Linked DNA regions of Mus musculus: regions 1, 2 and 4 are each reported to be linked to region 3. The links are microRNA targets in miRTarBase. Many come from high-throughput screens and were not tested one by one. Region 3 holds a microRNA gene; each other region holds the end of a gene's coding sequence.
Evidence for each region. The annotated mature microRNA mmu-miR-149-5p reads UCUGGCUCCGUGUCUUCACUCCC and lies in region 3 at 2,639-2,661, shown strand. An mRNA with a match to its seed (bases 2 to 7 or 8) in the 3' UTR can be bound and repressed. Matches are read on the target gene's strand: a 7mer-m8 pairs with bases 2 to 8, a 7mer-A1 pairs with bases 2 to 7 and ends in A, and an 8mer does both.

Region 1: the mRNA of Adcy1 is a reported target of mmu-miR-149-5p. Seed matches in the 3' UTR shown: 7mer-A1 at 1,356-1,362, 7mer-m8 at 2,492-2,498, 8mer at 2,759-2,766 and 7mer-m8 at 3,512-3,518.
Region 2: miRTarBase lists Nfix as a target of mmu-miR-149-5p. Seed matches in the 3' UTR shown: 8mer at 3,530-3,537.
Region 4: the mRNA of Sertad2 is a reported target of mmu-miR-149-5p. Seed matches in the 3' UTR shown: 7mer-A1 at 2,819-2,825, 7mer-A1 at 2,588-2,594 and 7mer-m8 at 722-728.

The regions. Positions count from the first base shown.
Region 1 is chr11:7,169,048-7,173,508 of GRCm38, forward strand. Adcy1 (adenylate cyclase 1) reads left to right here. Exons shown (of 20, transcript NM_009622.2): 20 at 366-4,461. The coding sequence ends at 668. Among named protein-coding and RNA genes, the nearest start is that of Ccdc201, 17 kb to the right of the region's middle.
Region 2 is chr8:84,704,807-84,709,267 of GRCm38, reverse strand. Nfix (nuclear factor I/X) reads left to right here. Exons shown (of 11, transcript NM_001371053.1): 11 at 591-4,461. The coding sequence ends at 605. Among named protein-coding and RNA genes, the nearest start is that of Lyl1, 5.6 kb to the right of the region's middle.
Region 3 is chr1:92,847,743-92,852,203 of GRCm38, forward strand. It overlaps Mir149 (microRNA 149), which reads left to right and starts at 2,636; the gene lies at 2,636-2,701. The region is part of intron 1 of Gpc1 (glypican 1); the gene reads left to right. It overlaps Gm29480 (predicted gene 29480), which reads right to left and starts at 1,055. Exons shown (of 4, transcript NR_166170.1): 1 at 959-1,055.
Region 4 is chr11:20,647,968-20,652,428 of GRCm38, reverse strand. It overlaps Sertad2 (SERTA domain containing 2), which reads right to left. Exons shown (of 2, transcript NM_001038625.1): 2 at 1-4,461. The coding sequence ends at 3,694. Among named protein-coding and RNA genes, the nearest start is that of Sertad2, 18 kb to the right of the region's middle.

The sequences.
Region 1 (4,461 bases), not on the chromosome of region 3:
TAGCTGTGCTCCATTCCCAGAAACTAAGGGTGCCATTCCCAGCACCAGACTACCTTGCTGAGGTATCTATATCCCTGATCCAGAGAGCCTGTCCATCTACCTTTAACATTGGGGCTAGTCCCACACAGCCCCTAACTGGGTGCACTAAGCAGTCACAATGGCTCACCCAAGCTGTGCTGGGTCTCTAGCCCCAGCTGTCCCCACTTGCCCATATATGAAGTAGCGTTGTCCAAATATCACCAGGATTAGGCAGCTGTGGTGGAAAGTGAGGTGCAGGGTCAAAGGTCACTGGGGAGCTCCTACCCTCCAGAAGACCCCCTCATTATCCATGACTAAGAGTAATGCTGACTTCTTTCCCCTGGTAGGTGACTGAGGAAGTCCACCGGCTGCTGAAGAGGTGCTCATACCAGTTTGTGTGCAGAGGCAAAGTCAGCGTGAAGGGCAAGGGAGAGATGCTAACGTACTTTCTAGAAGGCAGGACTGATGGAAACAGTTCCCACGGCAGGACCTTTCGCTTGGAACGAAGGATGTGTCCTTATGGGAGAGGCGGAGGCCAGGCCAGACGGCCCCCACTGTGTCCCGCGGCTGGACCCCCAGTCAGACCAGGGCTCCCTCCAGCCCCCACTAGCCAGTACCTGTCATCCACAGCAGCAGGGAAGGAAGCCTAGTGGAGCCCATGGGCCACTGGAGATGCATGCAAGGCAAGAATGCTCCAGGGTGTCACAAGCCACCATGGCTCTAGCCAGGACCAGACAGAGGAGCCAAGTGGCTGGGCTGGAGGAGAAGCATTGTCTGAGTGTGGCCTGAGGCCAATGGGAAATGTGCCCAAGCCACCCCTTGGGGCACACTGAGCTCTGTCTCTTCCTAATGACCTGGTTATGCCTGGCTAGTGTTGCCATAGGTGGCGGGACCTTGGGAGTATCTTCCATGGTCACAGCAAAAGCTATGGAGGTCAAGCTGGCAGAGGAGCCCACCATGACTGAGCCCCAAGTCAACTGGCTTATGGGTGGCTCCAGCCCTGGTAAGCCCTGGCTTATGGGTGGCTCTAGCCCTGGTAGGTCCTGGCTTATGGGTGGCTCCAGCCCTGGTAAGCCCTGGCTTATGGATGGCTCTAGCCCTGGTAGGTCCTGGCTTATGGGTAACTCCAAGCCTGGGTAGCAGTTTCAAGTATGAGTGCCAGACTGGGAAGTTGGCCCCGCTGGGCAGGGCCATGACAGTTGAGCTGTTCATACCATGGGCACAGCAAAGAGCTGGTCAGGTCTTGGTCAGGGCAGTATGGGAAGAATTGAAAAGACACCTCTTACTGCATGAAGAGCGGGGTTGCTGGCTTTCCCCAAGAGTAGGCTCTTGCTAACAGCCAGAGGCAGGTCTTCTGGAATTCTCGGGAGGCCCTACAGCCCCACTTCTGATCTCCTGGCCCGTACATTCTCTTCCAACCCCTCCTGGCTGCTGGCTTCTGACTGCTGCGACAGTGGGCCCTCCTCTTCCTGTGCCATGGCTGCACATTCAGAGAGGAGGGGTGTGTGCTGTCTTCTCTGTGGTGTCTTGGACGCTGTAAGTCTAACAAGAATCAAGCCTTCGTTTATGCTAAGAGCGATTGACCCACTATACCCACGAGTGCTCTCCTTGCTGGAAGACATCCTCTCCTTGGCCTAACCAGCTCTCCTCTTGGTGGTTTCAGAGTCGGCACAGTGTGCATTCCTGAGTCTAGGTGTGGTGTCCCTGCTCCAGGGTGATGGGAAAGAGTGGCCCTGTTGACTGACACCTGGGACCTCCCACCTGTGTGTCCCAGTAACTGCAACTGTGAGGAAATCCCGTTAGGGTACAGGATTCTGGAGGAGTTGGTAGGAAGCAACTGGCTGGAAATAGCGGGATGAAGCCTGGCTTTTGAAGATACTCAGTTTCAATACAGGAAGGGAGGCAGCTTGAAGCAGGGCAGGTGGGCATAAGCCCTGCCTGATCTTGTCTGTGGAGGCCCATTTCCTCACGGCTCCCCAAGAGCTTGCCCCCTTCCAAGGGTCCTATCTTCTTAGAATAGGGCAGAGCAAAGCCTAGTTTTCCCCGGCAGGGTGCATATGTGGTGTTCTGGATTCAGCTCTGGTTCAAGTGTGTGGCTTTGTTGGTGCCTGGGTAATTTTCCAGGTCAGCCAGCGCCCGTTCCTGGGACACTCAGCTGAGTCTAGACTCAGGTTACCTGTGGGTAGGAAGAAAACTTTCAGCAAGGGAGAGCTGGAGGCTGCATGCCAAGTCTCCAAGTCTTTGAGGCTGCACCTCAGGTGCCCTAGGGCCGGGTGGGGCAGCTGTGAAGATTGCACATTCTCTGTGGCCAGGGATGGAGCTTGTGGGTGGTGGTAAGGGTATCATCTAGCACCTTCTGCAGAGGAACTCTGACCCATGCCCACCCTGCTTTGTTGCCTTTCTGATGATATCAGGTAGCACGGCCTGGGCATTGTCGGCTGCCTTTCTGTCAGCCCACTGTGGCTAGAACCCAGAGCCAGGGCCAGACTGACTTCAGCACTCCACTGCAGCCTTCAGGGTTGGAGAGCAGGTAGCTTCATCGTCCTCCGGTGGTCATGTCTGGTTCCTGAGGCGTGGTATTTTGTTGTAACAGTGTTGGGGGAGAATGCTGGCTCCCAGAGAGTTGAGGGCAGCAGGACAGGCTTTTGGTTTCTCCCATGGCCCTGAAGACCATCTTAAGATTGCACTTATAAGAAAGATTCAGGTTGTTGGGGCGCTCTGAGAAGGGGCAGATTCCTCTGAGCCAGAACCTAGGTAGGCATGCGAGCACTCTTTCTTTGTGGCTCCTGCCTCCTGCCCGTCCCCAGGTGTTCCTATCCTTGGGACAAATGGCTTTTCCTCATGGGGCTCTTTTGCACTAGGAATTTCTCACCTCGTCTGTCTGTCTTGCAGTCAGCTCAGCCAGGAGCACCCAGAGCAAGTGAGTATATGGTGACTTTGGCTGAGGGCTGTGGCACTGTCCCTGGCCTTCCAGGCCACTGAGGAGGGTAGAGAACCTCTCACACAGCCTGGAGTTCCTCAGAGTGGCTTCTAGGCACCCAGAACTAGTGCCTCTCTGGCTGATCAGATGAGGGACAGAAGAGTGGTTCTCAAAGATGCCCACATGACAGCCCCAGGTCCTGTGTGTCCTTTGCCACAGTGGAGGACCTTGACAAGGGGACTTAGGGTAGGTAGGCCTGAAGGATTGAGAAAGGATTGAGAAAGTCTACACCAATGGGTTTAGTGTGGACACAGGGCCCCTCAGAAGTGGACAGAAAGATGCCCAGGACTGAGTCTCTGTTGCTGACCTGAAGATGAGGACATGAAATACATTGAAGAGACTTAGGAGGACAGCACAGCTCCAGCCAGCAAAGAAGCCAGGATGTCACGCACGCCCATAACCACAAGGAGCTGAAACTGGCCAAAGCCTGAGTATACAGCAGGCAGACCATCAGAGCCATGAGGGAGGAGGCCAGCCAGTGGCCCCTGGATCTGACCTATATGACGCTGAGCAGAGCCAGCCTAGGTCGATAACACTGCAATCACGCATGCGTGTGTCAAACCGAGGCCACATGGGTGCATGGGCAGAGCCACCCAAGGTGTGGTCAGAGTGAGAGAAAGCAACCTTTAGGATGACACTGCCTTCTCTGGGCACAGGACTGTTCTGAAGCAGACCACACAGGAGCCTTGGCTGGGTCTCTTCTTCAGGGGCGACATCTCCATCATCAGCAATTCCAAACCCGCCTACTTCCTGTGAGGTCAGGAACCACACGTGCAGCCATAATGTACCTTGGGGTTTGGTGATAAACAACCTTCTTTTTACTTGTGATAAAAATGTATTATATTGCCTTATTTATTTTTAATCTTGTACAATATTCATGTACAAATGTTAGAGCCATTTAGGTAGGATTCTCTCCAAATTATTTATTTTAAGATGCTCTGTAAATAGTGCACCAGTTACAGGTGCTTGATCACTTGTACCAAAAATGAGGAAAAGCCTGGTACCCACTTCAGCCCCTCTTGTAATGCCGTGGCCCTTGGGAAATGACCCTGTTGTGTTCCCTTCCCGCCCCTAGCATGCCTCCCGTGCCTGACACCATAGAATAGAACACAGCCCCAGAATGCTTCCAAATGCTTCCATGGGCTGTGCCATCCTGGGACAGTCCACTCCTGGGGTGTCCATACCTACAGGTGTATGTCCCCCCCACACACAGCAATCCAGTTGTTTCTCAGACTCCAAAGCCACCAGGGCTTCCGGACCCCTTCTGTCATAGAAGCAATAACCATAACCTAATACTGTAGAGACAAGTCTGGCCCAAGCAGATTGCTATTCCAGAAACTACCTGTGCATGTGAGATTGCTATAAAGGACTGACATCCAAGTCCCCCATCCCTCCCAGAAGGCCTAGCTCTAGCTTCTTGGTTCCTACAGCCAGGATTGGTACACACACACCCCGCCCTCCAA
Region 2 (4,461 bases), not on the chromosome of region 3:
GACCGGTCAGGGTGGGTGGGCTCTGGCCCCCTCCCCCAGTCCTGGCCCTAGTAGAGCTGAAGCCATGTGGTTCCCTGCCCCCAAGTCTTTCAGCCTGAGGGACAGGACGTTGGCTGGGATGTACAGACGTGAATTTCTGCTTTTAATCCAAAGGGACAGAAAGAAAACTCAGCAAGAACTCAAGCTGGGCCACCCCCACCCTACTCCCCCAACCCCTGTGGGTACAAAAGCCCCAGCCTGGCATCCTCCCCACCTTCCAGGTTCCACACAAAAACCTAAACAATTGCAAACATGGCCAGATCCCAGGTCTGTGCCAGTGCCAGCCATGGGGGTCCCACCCGCTGGGCACCGTGCCCACGGGAAGGCCAGCTGGACTCTTGCACTGGGGTCTGGGGGGGATTCCCTCAGAGGGTGGAGAGAATGATTTGGCTTCCTCCATTGGGGTCTGATGCTCAGCACCCTGGCCCCTCTCCCGGGAGCTCACTGTAGAGGTTGGAGATCATGGGGTGGGGGGGCGGGATGAAATGGGAGTTGGGACCTGCCCCAGCTGTTCTCACGGTCGCTTTTTTTTTTTCCTGATCCCATTACAGTCCTGGTTCCTCTGATTAAGATCAACAAAGAAACAACTAAATTTAAAAAAGGAAAAAAAAAAAAGAGGTTCCTCAAAATGGGGGAGAAGAAATTTTGAGACATGGAAATATCCCCCAGCCCAGCCCCACCGAAAAGCAAAACTTAGACGTCGTCAGCCACTCAGCCCTTCCCTCCTCCAGCCCTGGTACCCCCGCGTTCCAAAGCCGCCCAGTTCTGGGAGTCCTCGGAAAGGGGTCTCAGCGGAGCTGTACACCAGCAGCCAAGCAGAAAGAAGCATGCTAAGCGGACTCTGCTAAGCAGAGGACAAACAGAAAGAAAGGATGCAACAAGACTGCCTTCCTCCTACTCAGCCTGGCCTTCCCAGGAAGGAGCAGCCAGCTCACTGGCCGGCCACCCTGGCAGTTCCTGGGGACCCCACCCTCCGCTGGACTTAAGCTTCCCAAGGAGCCCAGAGGAACAGCTCGTAACAATAGTAGACATTCGAGCTCCCCTCCGGACTTCGTCTCTTTCCCTCACCCCACCCCCCACTCCCCAACCTCTCTTGCCCTTCCTGGGAGCCTCTGCTCAGGCTTCTGGCCCCAGCTGCTCTGGACCAGGCTAGGGCGTTCCCGGGTAGGTAAGGGATGCTTCTTAGAGCTAACTGAATTCAGCCTGAGTCCAGAATAGAGGGTGTTCTGCCACCCCATTTTGAACCGCCCGGGCAGTTCTCGGGCTGGACACCCTCTGTACAGCACACAGGAAAGTCAGAATGCTCTGGACTGGACGCCCAGCCCAGCATAGGCACCTTCTTCCACGCCCGCAGGACGCAAGGGCTGCTGCCCTCTGCCACGCCCCTAGTGAAGGGAGTCGGCCCCAGGTCGCCCCGCACCCCAGCCCTGCATGCAGGTGCCCTTGCTCCGCCCCTCTGCCCTGCCCCTGCCCTTGCTGCACACAGCCCTCCAGGGGCCGGCTGAGAGTGGAGCAGAAAGGGCCCCCGGAGCTGAGCGAGGAGGACAAGGCAGCCTCCACCTGCGCTAGGTAGGCGTCCTGCTCTCGAGACTTTGAGTTCCTGTGGAGGGTGGGGGGTGTCATCCTTTTAAAAGAGTGTTCTGGAGCTTTCTGGTCCCCTTCCCTTCCCACCACGCCCCGTGGCCACTTCTCCCTAGATTTTAGCTGTAATGTCTTTCCTCTTTATTTAGGGGTGGGGCAGTCATTGTTTGGGTCTTTCGCTGTTTGCAGTTGGGAACTCCTCTGTTTGAGCAACTTGGGAACAATTTCGTAACACACCACAGGAAGCAGTTCTCCTCCCAGCCCCCTCCTCCAGTAAGGGATGGCGGAGGCTTGTCCAGAGGGTCTTGAGAAGCCCCCTGGGAGGGAGGGGAACGCGAGCACGCCAGACCCCCTGCAGGGTGACTGGGCCCCTCTGGCTTGTCTTTCTGTGCCTTAGTCCTCCTTCCCTGCATCTCCCCTCCCAGGCCCGTTCTCAAGGCCATGCGCCTCTCTCCGGTATGAAAACACAAAGCACAGGTCAGGATCTTCCGAAAGTCGGTCCAACATTGCACCACGTGGGGGTGGGTTGTGGGCTTTATTTATTGAGAATCTAGTTGGTGAGGCTGCGGCCCTGAACAGGAGAATGGCCGCTAGCAGGGAGCTCGGGGCTGCGAGGCGGCTGTCCCTGCGTTCTGTGTGGAAGTTGAGCGAAGCCCTCCCCTGCGGCGTCGAGGGCCAGGCCGGGGTGGACGTCCAGCGGGGGGAGGCCTCCCTGTGCGAGGGGAGGGAGCCCCAGGGTGGGGGGCCGGGCGGGCCGGGCGTGACGCGCGGTCAAAGTGCAATGATTTTTCAGTTCGGTTGGCTAAACAGGGTCAGAGCTAAGAGCTAGCGAAAGAGGGTCCCTGCCCGGCCGCGTGCGCCTCTTCGGTCGGTCGAGGACAGTCGGGCTGTGGGCGCTGTGGGATTGCGGGGCACACGCCCCGGGCGAGGTCAGAAGCTGCAGGCCAGCTGGGCCGGGGCCCAAGGTGCCCGAGAGAGGTACCCTCGGGAGGACTGGGGTGGGGGTGGTGCTCCTTTCCCAAGTGGTGGTGTGAGGGGCAGGCAGGCAGGGACGATGAGGGCGACAGATGTGGGGACGTGTTTAGGAGAGGAAACAACCCACAAAAAAATATAGGGGAAATTAACCTTTTTTTTTTTATTGAACCAAGTGCAATGCATCAGAGAGTTTTCCTATCTTTGTATGTTAAGAGATTAAGAAAAAAAATTCTATTTTTGTTGTAATGTCCTCGCGGCTCTGGGGACGCTAAAAGAACTGGGCCTGCCCTGCCCTTAGCGGGGATGAAAGCTGAGTGTTTTCCTTTTTTTTGTTTTTTTTTTTGTTTGTTTTCCTTTTTGATAGTTTTCTGGGTTTTTGTTTGTTGGTTTGGTTGGTTGGTTTTTTTTTTGTTTTTTTTTTTTTGTTTTGCCTTTTTTCCTGCGTTGACGAGGATAATCTGGGGTTTAAATTTGTTTCGTCGTTCGGTTTCGGTGGGAGGGCTGAAGAAAACGTTTAAAAACACCTCGACATTAAAAAAAAAAAACCAACACAAGATCAAAAGGAAAAGGACGAGAGAAAATTATTTTTAAGATAATTAAACATAAAAACCCTGGTGCTTATTACATTATAAAGTACGTTTTTAAAAACCCACAAACTATTATACATACGTTTATGAATCAATTAAATACTCTGCACTTGTTAGGAACACGCATATCCCTTCTTTGTTGAGTTTAACGGAACGGGACAGCGGCGTGCGCCCCGCGGCTGGGCTGCTCTGGCCGCGGGTCTCCCCAGGCGCTCCCCCCTTCCTCGCCCCCTCCCCCTCCGGGCACTGGGGCGCGGCGGGGGTCCCCGGCCCCCTCCCCCGCAGAGGTCAATGCCAACGAACAAACGTCCCTTTTCCCTCCCTCCCCACTCCGAGCGCCCTTCTTTGAGCCAGACGCCAACTTGACCCTCACCAGCATTAATCAGGAGCGCGCTCAGCAAGTTGGTAGTTTCCTCCCCGACCCCTTCCCACGTAACACCACTATTCCCCCTCCCTCCGGGAGGTTCGATGCTCCAGGACAGGTCCAGCCACGCTGACAGGTCGATTTGCCCAGGCCCGCGCCCGCACGCACGCACGCACATAGCCCGGCACACACCCCCACCCTACCCCGCAACCAGCCCTGTCGACTGCCTTACACACCCGCCCCCGCGCTGGCCGGCCGACCTAGTGCCTTGTTCTCACCCCCGTGCTGGCGGAGCGGACGCCGCGCTCTGGGTCCCAGAGGGGCCGGGTGGCTCAGACGACCCACCGTTTCCCCCAACCCGACCGTACTGAACGGACCCCCCACGAGAGAAAAAAAAAAGGAGCAATAAAGTTATGAGAACTTTGTCCCCCAATCGAGAGCCCTAGGGGCACCCCAGCCCCACCTCTGCTCCCTCCCACCCCATCCACCCTCGGGGCGTCCCACTCTGCGCAAGCCAGCTGGGGCCAACCCCTGCTTTGGCCCCTCTTGGGAGATCCGTGCGCCCCATCAGCACCAGCATCGCGGACCGCAAAGGCCGCCCGTCCCGTCAAACAAGTTTCTTCTTAGGCTAAGAAACGCAGTATATACGAGTATCTCTATATATATATAGTACTAATGGATTTGGTGTGCTTCCCCCTTAGCGTCCCTTCCCTCTGCTCCTCTTTCAGCCTGGTCTCCCTTCTCTGCCCTCCAATTCCCCTCCCCCGTCTCTGCACTGAGATACATAAGAAACAAGGGTAGTTTACTGTCTGTTTTGTTTTCTGGGTTTTCAGTGTCCTAGCGGAATGCAAGTAGGCAGCCAGCCCGTCTGTCCCCTCTCCGCCCGCCCCGCCCCGCCCCACCCCAGTCACTGCG
Region 3 (4,461 bases):
AGCTGCCTACTGTTTCCAGGGACACGGGGGGTGGGGGGGGGCGGTGCTGAATGTGCCAGTGAAGGTTGCGGGAGGAGGTGCGTCCCAGGAAGCTGCCTTCAGCCTTGTGCATCAGTGAGACTGCCACTGCCCTGCTGCCCTAGGTTGTGGGATCCACCACACCACGCCGAGACCCCTAGCCTCATCTTGGCCTTTCCTGCTGAGTTCTGCTGCTCTGCAATTGCCAGACCACTTCACTGGCGCTGGAATCGCCCTTGCTATCCGGAGTGCATCCACAGCTGGGGACACTATTGGAGCGGCCATGGAGAAGGGGGTTCTAAGGCCAGGAGGGTGTCCGCTAAGCTACCAGGCTACGTCTGCTAGGCACCATCTCTATCACCATTCCTGTCTGCATCCCCCCTCCTCCATGCATTCACCTCTCATCTTCAGTTCCATTCTCTCGCAGCTGTACCCCCACTACAGCCTATCTCTGTCTCATCCCCTTCCCATCAAGAGCTTGGTCATCAGCCCTGATGTCCACTCATGTCTCTCAGCTCCCACCTCCATCCCATCCCCATCTCCCTAAAGTTGTGCTGCACCATCCTAGATATTCCTCTCTACCCCATCCCTCCCCCTGCACCCCTCAGGCTGCCGCAGCCCCCTTTCCGCAGTAAGTCCCCCTTCCTCTACTGAACCCATCCCCCCTTTCACCCCGCCCCCGCCGCCACAGCCATGGCGCTCGCTTTTCTCCCTCCTTTTTCTGCCGCCGCGCCCACTGCGGCAAGCCCCTTCCCCGCCAATCACATCGCCCTCTCTCCTCTCCCTCCATCTCCCGCTTTCCGCAGCCCCCCTCCAAATGCCCCCCTCTGCCTGCCGCAGCACTCAGCTCTCCGCACCAGCCGCGCCCACTGCACCAGCGCCCCCTCCTCACTGCGGCGCCAGAGCAGGCGCCTGCATCTGCAGCTCCGGCTTATCTTACCGGCTCCAGCTGTACAGAACCATCCCCGTTGCAGAGGAGGCAGCGGTCGGTCGGAGCTGCAGGTGTCGCCCAGGCTTTGTTCGCCCAGGGCCTGGCCTGATGCTGGAGAGGCAGCTGGCAGGAGCCCTTGCCTGCCCGGAGATGACCCCTCCCATCGAGTCCATAGAAGTGCCAGCAGCCGATGCCCCCCAGTTAGGGGGTCCCTGTTCGTGATGGAGGTTCTTCTTGGTGATGTTGCCATTTGGGTGAACCGGAGGCAGGGGCTCGGGAATCATGAAGGCATCCAGGAGGGTGGAAAAGTATTGGGAGTGAGGTGGGGGCGGGGAGGGGATTGTGCTTGATGCTTTTCCAATTTCAGAGATGGAGTTGAAATGTCTTCCTTCGGGTGTGACCCCCGGGGACTAGACAGGTTTGTTGGGGAACAGGAGCAAGCAATGGGAAAATGCCCCTGGAGCCTGGGCAGTGAGTAGTCCCCCAGAAAGCTGGGCCATTTGCTCCAGGCTGTCACGTCCTGGAGACTCTCAGCCTCTGGGGCTGGAAAACCCAGGAGCACAGAGGGCTGGTTTACTTCTAACCTACCAGTCAACAGAAAGGCCTGCTCTAGGAGCCAGCAGCTGGGGAGGGGAGTGTAGCCTGTGCCTCTCCCTTATCTGCGGTGCTGAGAGATTATACTCCGAATGCCCCTACACTCCCCCAAGCCGTGCCAGCTGGAGTGTTTTAGGGGCCGTGAGGGAAGTGGGCTTTCCACTCTGCATCTCCCCCGTGAGCACAGGAAGCTTCTAGAAGAATGGACCAGAGGCGGGGTAGCATGACTCTGCATTATCTTCAGAAGGTGGAGGGTTTCAAGGCATTGGGTCCCTGAAGTGTCAGGGGAGGTCAGGTCAGAGATGTCTGTGGGTAGCATCAGGATGCTGGACTCTGCTAAAGTCCTGGGGTGACTGTGGATGATGACCAAGAGGGATGCTGCCTCTGTGAGGGAGGAGCAGGAGCTGGAGCTGTCAGCAGGTGGCAGGAGGGTGTGACCCTGAAAGGTAGGAAGCCACAAGCTGCTGTCTGCTCTGGAGAATAGTGGGGGGCCGGGGGTGGGGTGCAAGCAGCCAGATTTGGGAGGAGGTAAATGAGCAGTTGCTGCCCATGGGTTTGCTGCAATGGGGTGCCATGCTAAGTGTCACAAGAAGCAGGGGTCTTGGAATTTGAGAGGCTTTGGGGTTGGGGACAAGGCTTAGAAAAGGGACTAAAGTGGGGAAAACCTGCCATTAACAAACAACCCCCTTCCCCAAATAAAACCTGTGAGTGCCAGGGGAGGGTAGTGCCCCCCAAAAACCCAGGAGGGAAAGATCTGGAAAAATGAAACCAACTCTGAGAGAGATGGGCGGGGTCAGTGGGGAACAATACTGCCGCTCCACTCCCACCCACCTTCAGGGCTGGCAAGGAGGAAGCTGCTGGTAGGGTAGAACGGAGAGACGTTCCTACGATGGGTATGTACTCCAGTGCTTTCCTGGAAGTGTAGAGAGCTTTGCAGAGCCTGCCTTAGCTGTTCTGATGTTGAGCACCTATGGTTCCAGTTGGGCTGGGTCTCAGCTCCTCTATCTTTGACCCTCAGCAAGCAGGTCTGCCAATGCATGGGCTTCTGGGCAGCCTGACCCAGCCTGCCCGGGGCCCTCAGGCCAGTGCCCAGGCTCTGGCTCCGTGTCTTCACTCCCGTGTTTGTCCGAGGAGGGAGGGAGGGACGGGGGCGGTGCTGGGGCAACTGGAACAGCGCAGGTCACCGGGCTGGCTGGGTGAGGTGGCCAGGCAGAGCCAGGGGGCTGCAGGGGAGGCCATTGGATGGGGTATGCTCATAGTAGCTGGCCAAAAGTCTCATGGGTCCCATTTATCCAGAACCTGCCGTGGAGTGGGGCGAGTTTCTGTTTCTGAGTGTGTGTCCTTAATTAACTTCTTCCTGTTTCAGCTTCGTTCTTCTGTCTATGTGGTGAGGGGTGGCAATTGGGACCACTAAGATGGAGAAGGATGTCAGAGGAGCAGAAACCATGGGAGGGGCCAGTAAGGCTGTGCCCACCTCTCTCTTGCCAGTGCTCTGTTGTGCAGCCTGGTCCTCAATATTTCCACCTAAAACCTTTGGCCTACACACACAGAGTGCCTCTGTCCCAGCTGAGCCCAGGATGGCCCCATCCTGATACCTGCAGCCTCCATCCCCATAGCTGTTTCCCCACTCACTGCTGAAGTCAGAGATGGGTCATCCTCTACAGTGCCCCCCATGATTCCTCCTCTAACAGAAAAACCCTTAAACCCCACCACTCAAAGAGAGAGATGTGGCATATCACCTCAGCCCAGCAGACCATGGCCCGGAGCAGAGCAAATAGAAGGCCCTGCTGGGCCCTGTACCTTGTTGTGCCTGTAGCCTGCTTGCGGGTGGATAATCTCTGCTTAGCCCTCCCTACTCTAGAAGGAAGGGAATCAATCAATGGATGCAGATCAAGTGGCAGGACCTAGGCTTGCAGCTCCCAGCTGTCTGGGCACCAACCCAGCCCTTTCTTGAGGTTGGGTGCTTAATAACATGTTGCTTCCCAGGACCTGCAGTCCCTGTGAAAGGCAGGTGCCCTGGGCAGGAGGAAGCAGTGTGGTAGGAGCAGAGGGTACCAGGTAGGGGAGTGGTGGGAGGGGCATTCCGTGTGCACCTCCCATCTCTGACTCCCTTTTCTCTTGACTCCCCCAAGCACCCTTGAATCAGAATACAATTCCTTCTGTTCTTCTACCAGCTGTCAGCCACTGCCCTGCTCTGTGGACCTTTGGGGACCCTGAAACCAGGTGGGACTCAGCCTGTGAGGCCAAAAGTCCCCAGGGTTCTGGGATGAAGCACAGCTCCCATGCCTTAGTAAGCAGGAGAAGGGCTAGGCCAGGCCCTCAACCTGAGACCTGGAAGAGCAGATCTGAAGGTTGCCCTACCTAGGGATGGAGGGGTGGCATCTGGGGATATATACCTTCCATGTCAGGTCAAAATCACAGAGGCTGTACACAGTTCCACTCTGCAATATGCACACACACACACACACACACACACACACACACACACACACCATCCAGCACACATAAATGCTTGTGCTTACTAAGTGCTAAAGACAAGGATGTGATCATGTAACAAGCTCTTAAGGGTGAATGCAACCTCAGAATCTCTCCTTAGTCAGAGATCTCCACTCCCAGTTGGCTTCAGGGGAGGGGGGTTCATAGAAATGGGGCCTAACACATAATGGCCTCATCCTGAGGTCACAGGTTCCTGCCCCCACATGCTTCTTGACAAGATGTCCACTCCCCTCTGGCTCAGTCCCCCACCTCTGATGGCAGCCTGCAGTATCACATCCTGGAGTTCTTCACATCCCACCTTTCCCATCAACCCGTCAGCAAGGATAAAGCCCAGGTACCAGCCCTGGCACCTACTCTGGGCTCTGGAAACTCTGCATTTCACTGGCTCCCCATAACATCAAAATCAGCATTCCTGCACGAGG
Region 4 (4,461 bases), not on the chromosome of region 3:
CATTTAAGAAGGCTGCCCTTGCAGTGTTCATAATTCATTGTTTACTGCAAAGGTGGTAAGAAATTTAGGCTTTAAAAATGATCCGTGAGTTGATACTTTGGCTCTTTGGAGCTTACGTCGTAAAGAAATTTTCCTTGATTGACCTCAGGATGGTTGGGGCTATGGCGATAGAAAGCTCAATTGCTAAAGACACTGGAGTGGTGTAGGAGGCTGTGGCCATTTCTCACCCTTTGGTATGAAGGTGGGTGCCTATGTGTTGCCCTTCTGTCATCAAGAGAAAGTGCTACTAAGAAAACTTTAAAAAATTATCAACTCTTTTATGCTTGATTTTTTTAAAAATTTGGAGGTATTAAAACATTCCTCATCCATACCTTTTTGCATATTTTAAATAGACCCATATTGGAGATGAGAGTTAAAAATGAATGTGGACTGTATCTGATGAAGAGACAGGTGGGGGCTGGCTTGGCTCCCCCTTTTAATACACACAGATCTACATCCCTACAAGAAATACATTCCTACCATACATTCTGCACCATACCACCAGGATGTTATTAGAGTGCCACAATAAAATAAATATATTTACACAGAAAAAAAAAAAGAATAAATAACTTATGGGGAAAACCATCCCTTTAAGTCTCTCAGGATTCTGCTCTCACCTTGTCACGTCATTGCACGTCATTGTCAACAAGCTTGTCAGGCCCAGGCACCCCAGGCTGTCTGCCTGGCTCGGATGCCACAAGACTGTCTTTGTGAAGGTGAGCCACTACTGCCAGGAAGCGTCTAGAAGCACATTCCCCCACTCAAACTGGGACTGGGAGCTCTCACTCTGGTTCCAAACTCTTCCCTGTTGGGACATGGCTTAGTATAAATAGGACACAAAGACAGTCTTAACTCTTGGTGGGCTTGCTCTTCCTGAAAACAGGGCCATTGGCTTCCCATGGATGTTTCAGGAATTAGCACTCTGCCTGCCGGTGTTGGGGGTGGGTGTTTTGATTTTGAAGCCCAGCCTTACAAATGCACTAGAGTTTGAGAACCAAGTTTGGGCAATGCTTCTCTGTGCTTATTTGAACTGTTGCCCAACATATGGGATTGTTTAAACACATGATTTGCTAATCCAACAAAAGTACAGTTGTTCTAAGTTACTGTAAATCAGTTTTTGACAATGGCAATCAACTGCTTTGTGCCATTTTTGCTGGGAATCATCAACACTACTGTATATGCACATGTATGCAGATGTGTGTGGCATGTGGCCAGTTCACAGGATCCTCCAGTTCTAAAACACACAGAGTACGGGCAGACCTGCTCTCTACAAGACAGACAAGTTCTTAAGATGGACAGGCACAGAGACACTTGCAAGTGTGCATGACAACCTCCCCTACGTGTGGTCCCTGCCCTACAAGAAAGGAGACACACGCGTGAAGGGGCTGGTGAAAGGCTGGAGGTGCCTGTAGGAGCACAGCTGGATCAGCCTCCCGCTGCTCCAGAGCTGACAGTCAGCCTGTCAGACACATTCCAGTGAAGAAAAGGTAAAAAGATATTAATCGCACCATCCACAAATCTTCTGCTTGGATGAGCAGTTCCTTCATCACAAATGCATTTGCTTGCCATGTGCATTATAAAAATAAATCTATTTATGGCTTGTTTTAAAGTGCCATTTATAAAATTTATCTTTTTAATTGGCCAGAAAGGCCCATTTTATCCATGGCAAGAAGTGAGCAGAGTTGGTTGGTGACTGTATATTGACAAATGACCAACAAAGACAACCAAAAACAAAAACAAAATCCCATAATTTAAGTTTTTTTAAATAAATATAAAAGTTATTTCTAAAGAAGCCATATAGGTTGTAACCTGCACTCAACAGCTCAAATACCACACTGCAAGAGCGAGCCATGAAACAGAAAGGCGGTTTCAGCAACAGGCCTGATACACTAAAACAAACGACTGCATCTCATGAGTGCACGTGTTGGGGGGATCACTAAAGAAAGAGCCGCTGGAGGGGCTAGCACATGGGGGTAGGGGAAGGCCAGAGACGTGCATAGAAATTCCTCTCTATGTATTTGGGAATAACAGCTTTGTAAAGTGTAGTTAAATTAGCAGTTAATTAAGGAAAGCAACCAGATTGGACACCATGACATAAGGCGGTGGACTGCGGCTCTAGTCACAGATGTCAGGAGAGCGAGCGAGCGCGTCCCGGCTGGCGGAGGTGCGCAGAGCTAGCTCACTGTGCTGATCAGAAAGATGCCATTTGCAGCTCTTAGCAACAGAGGGAACAAAAGCTCCAGGGAAAGGACATGGGAGAGGCAGCTCAGCAACACGATGGATGCCTTCTGGGGAACTAAGTACTGAAGTGGGGCTCACCTCCAGCAAAAGGTCAGTTGCTTGTTGTAAAATTTTGTTGTGTAAAATTGTGGTCTCGTCATAAAAGCTATGCCAAAAGACAAAGACTGGGGTTTTCATTTCAAAAATTTAAAATAAAAACAATTAAAATAGCAACTTGGCATAAATACAGTTTTGTTTTGTTTTTTATCCCCCTGTTCCCCCTCCCTCCCCACCCCCACCTTGAGACAGGGTTTTCTCACTGTATAGTTCTGGCTGGACTGGAACTCACAAAAATCTGCCTGCCCCTGCCTCCCAAATGCTGGAATTACAGGGGTGTGCCACCACACCCTGCTGAGTCCACTCTTAAATAAGATGATGCAGCCTCTGTTCAAAAGAGGGAGCTAAGGAGCCTGCCACATCAACTCCGCCCTCCCTACCCCAAGAAACACAGCCATCTCCCCGCCAACTGCTTAATGCATGTTTGATGAGCAGACAGGGCTCTGGCTTTGGAAGTCACAGTGCTGGCGGGTGACCGTGCCAGGGGCTGGTGCTTGTGAAATTTGGGTGTCAGATCACCTGGCCCTTTATGAAAGCGCTGTGTGTATTTGCAGTGGGGACATCAACTGCAGACTGACGTGATCCAGTTCTCTCTTGCACCACACACATATAAAACATTACAAGTCCTATAAAAGTACAAGTGCAACTTGTACATCTCATGTTTGCAGGAACTATGTGAGCAAATCCTATCAAAATAGCTATTTCATAGGTATAAACAGCATTTGTGTTTAGAAAAACAATATCATAAACTGCAGAATCTGTACAAAAATATAAAATAAATTTGGGCAGCAGTTTTCTAAACAGCCATGTAAATGCAACACTTACGAGTAGTTAATGCCTCTAAAAAGGCTGAATTGCCAAGTCAACTTACACAGGGCAAAACGCCAGAAAAGGTACTGAGATTATCCAAATAATATAGATATATATTCTTTTTTTTTTTTACCTCTTGCAATAAAACTTATAGAAAAAATAGACAAATATGCACATGCAATTTACAGCTTTTCCAACTTAATCCTTGTGCTTCACTTGAACTGTTCCTGTTCACCTTTCAACATTAGCAACACAGTCTTCAAATGTCTTCTCTCCTACGCCAGGGCAGCAGGGCTCTGAGGAACCCACTCAGAAGAGTGTGTTACAAGTGGGCATACTCGAATGAAGGCACTCCAACTCTGCTTGAAGAAAATACTAGTGTGATCCTTTTGTAAAATTTTCTTTTTCTCTGAAAAAGGCAAGCAAGGGTCCATGCACAGTGCGGAGAAACTGTCGGGGCTGCAAGGGTGCAGAGCCTGGCTGGGCGCAGTCACGTGGGCCCAGGTCTCAGGAGCCAACAAGCACCTCCATGATGTGGTCCAGCTCCGTGAGATCCATTTTGAAAGGCTGACTTGGGGCAACAGGCTGATTGCTGTAAGGAGCCAGGGTCTTGAGGAGGTCATCAGCTGACACAGGGGCCATCTTTGAGGCTGTCCCCGATGCAGATGTGCAGGGGTCAAAATCGTACATGGATGTATCAATGTCAGCAAACAAGATGTCATCCAGGGTCAAGTCTGTCAGGAAACCCGTGGACGTTGTTATTTCAAAATTCCCAGGCAGAGAGTCCATGAATCGTGAGTCATCTGTGCGGCCTTCCTCGGGCCCCTCAGGTTTCTGGACACTGGACTCACTGGAGGTTCCTTTCGGGCCCTCAGGGGCTGCTGTGTGGGCAGCCTCTGTGGAGGTAGATGTGGGACAGAGCTCCTCGATCTCATCCAAGGCGGAGGAGAAGCTGTCCTTCTCTGCTGGGAGGGCTGCAGAAGAGAGTCTAGTGGGAGCTGCAGGGTGCACAGCCTGCAAAGTGCAAAAAGTGTCATCGTTGTCGTCCTCGAGCAGGGAGGCAGGGGTGAGGCAGGCCTCCAAGGGTGTAGTGCTTCCGAGGTCACAGGGGTGAGGAGCAGGAGGCGGGGCCTCCTGGTAGCTGTCGCTCAGTGAGTTGCTCGGCTGGGAAGAGGGGGTGAATGCAGGCCTCAGGCTGCCTTCCTGCTTGAGTTCCTCCTGGATCCGCCTCAACATGTTGTTAATTAAGACAGTCTTCTGCAAGCTGGGCTCTGT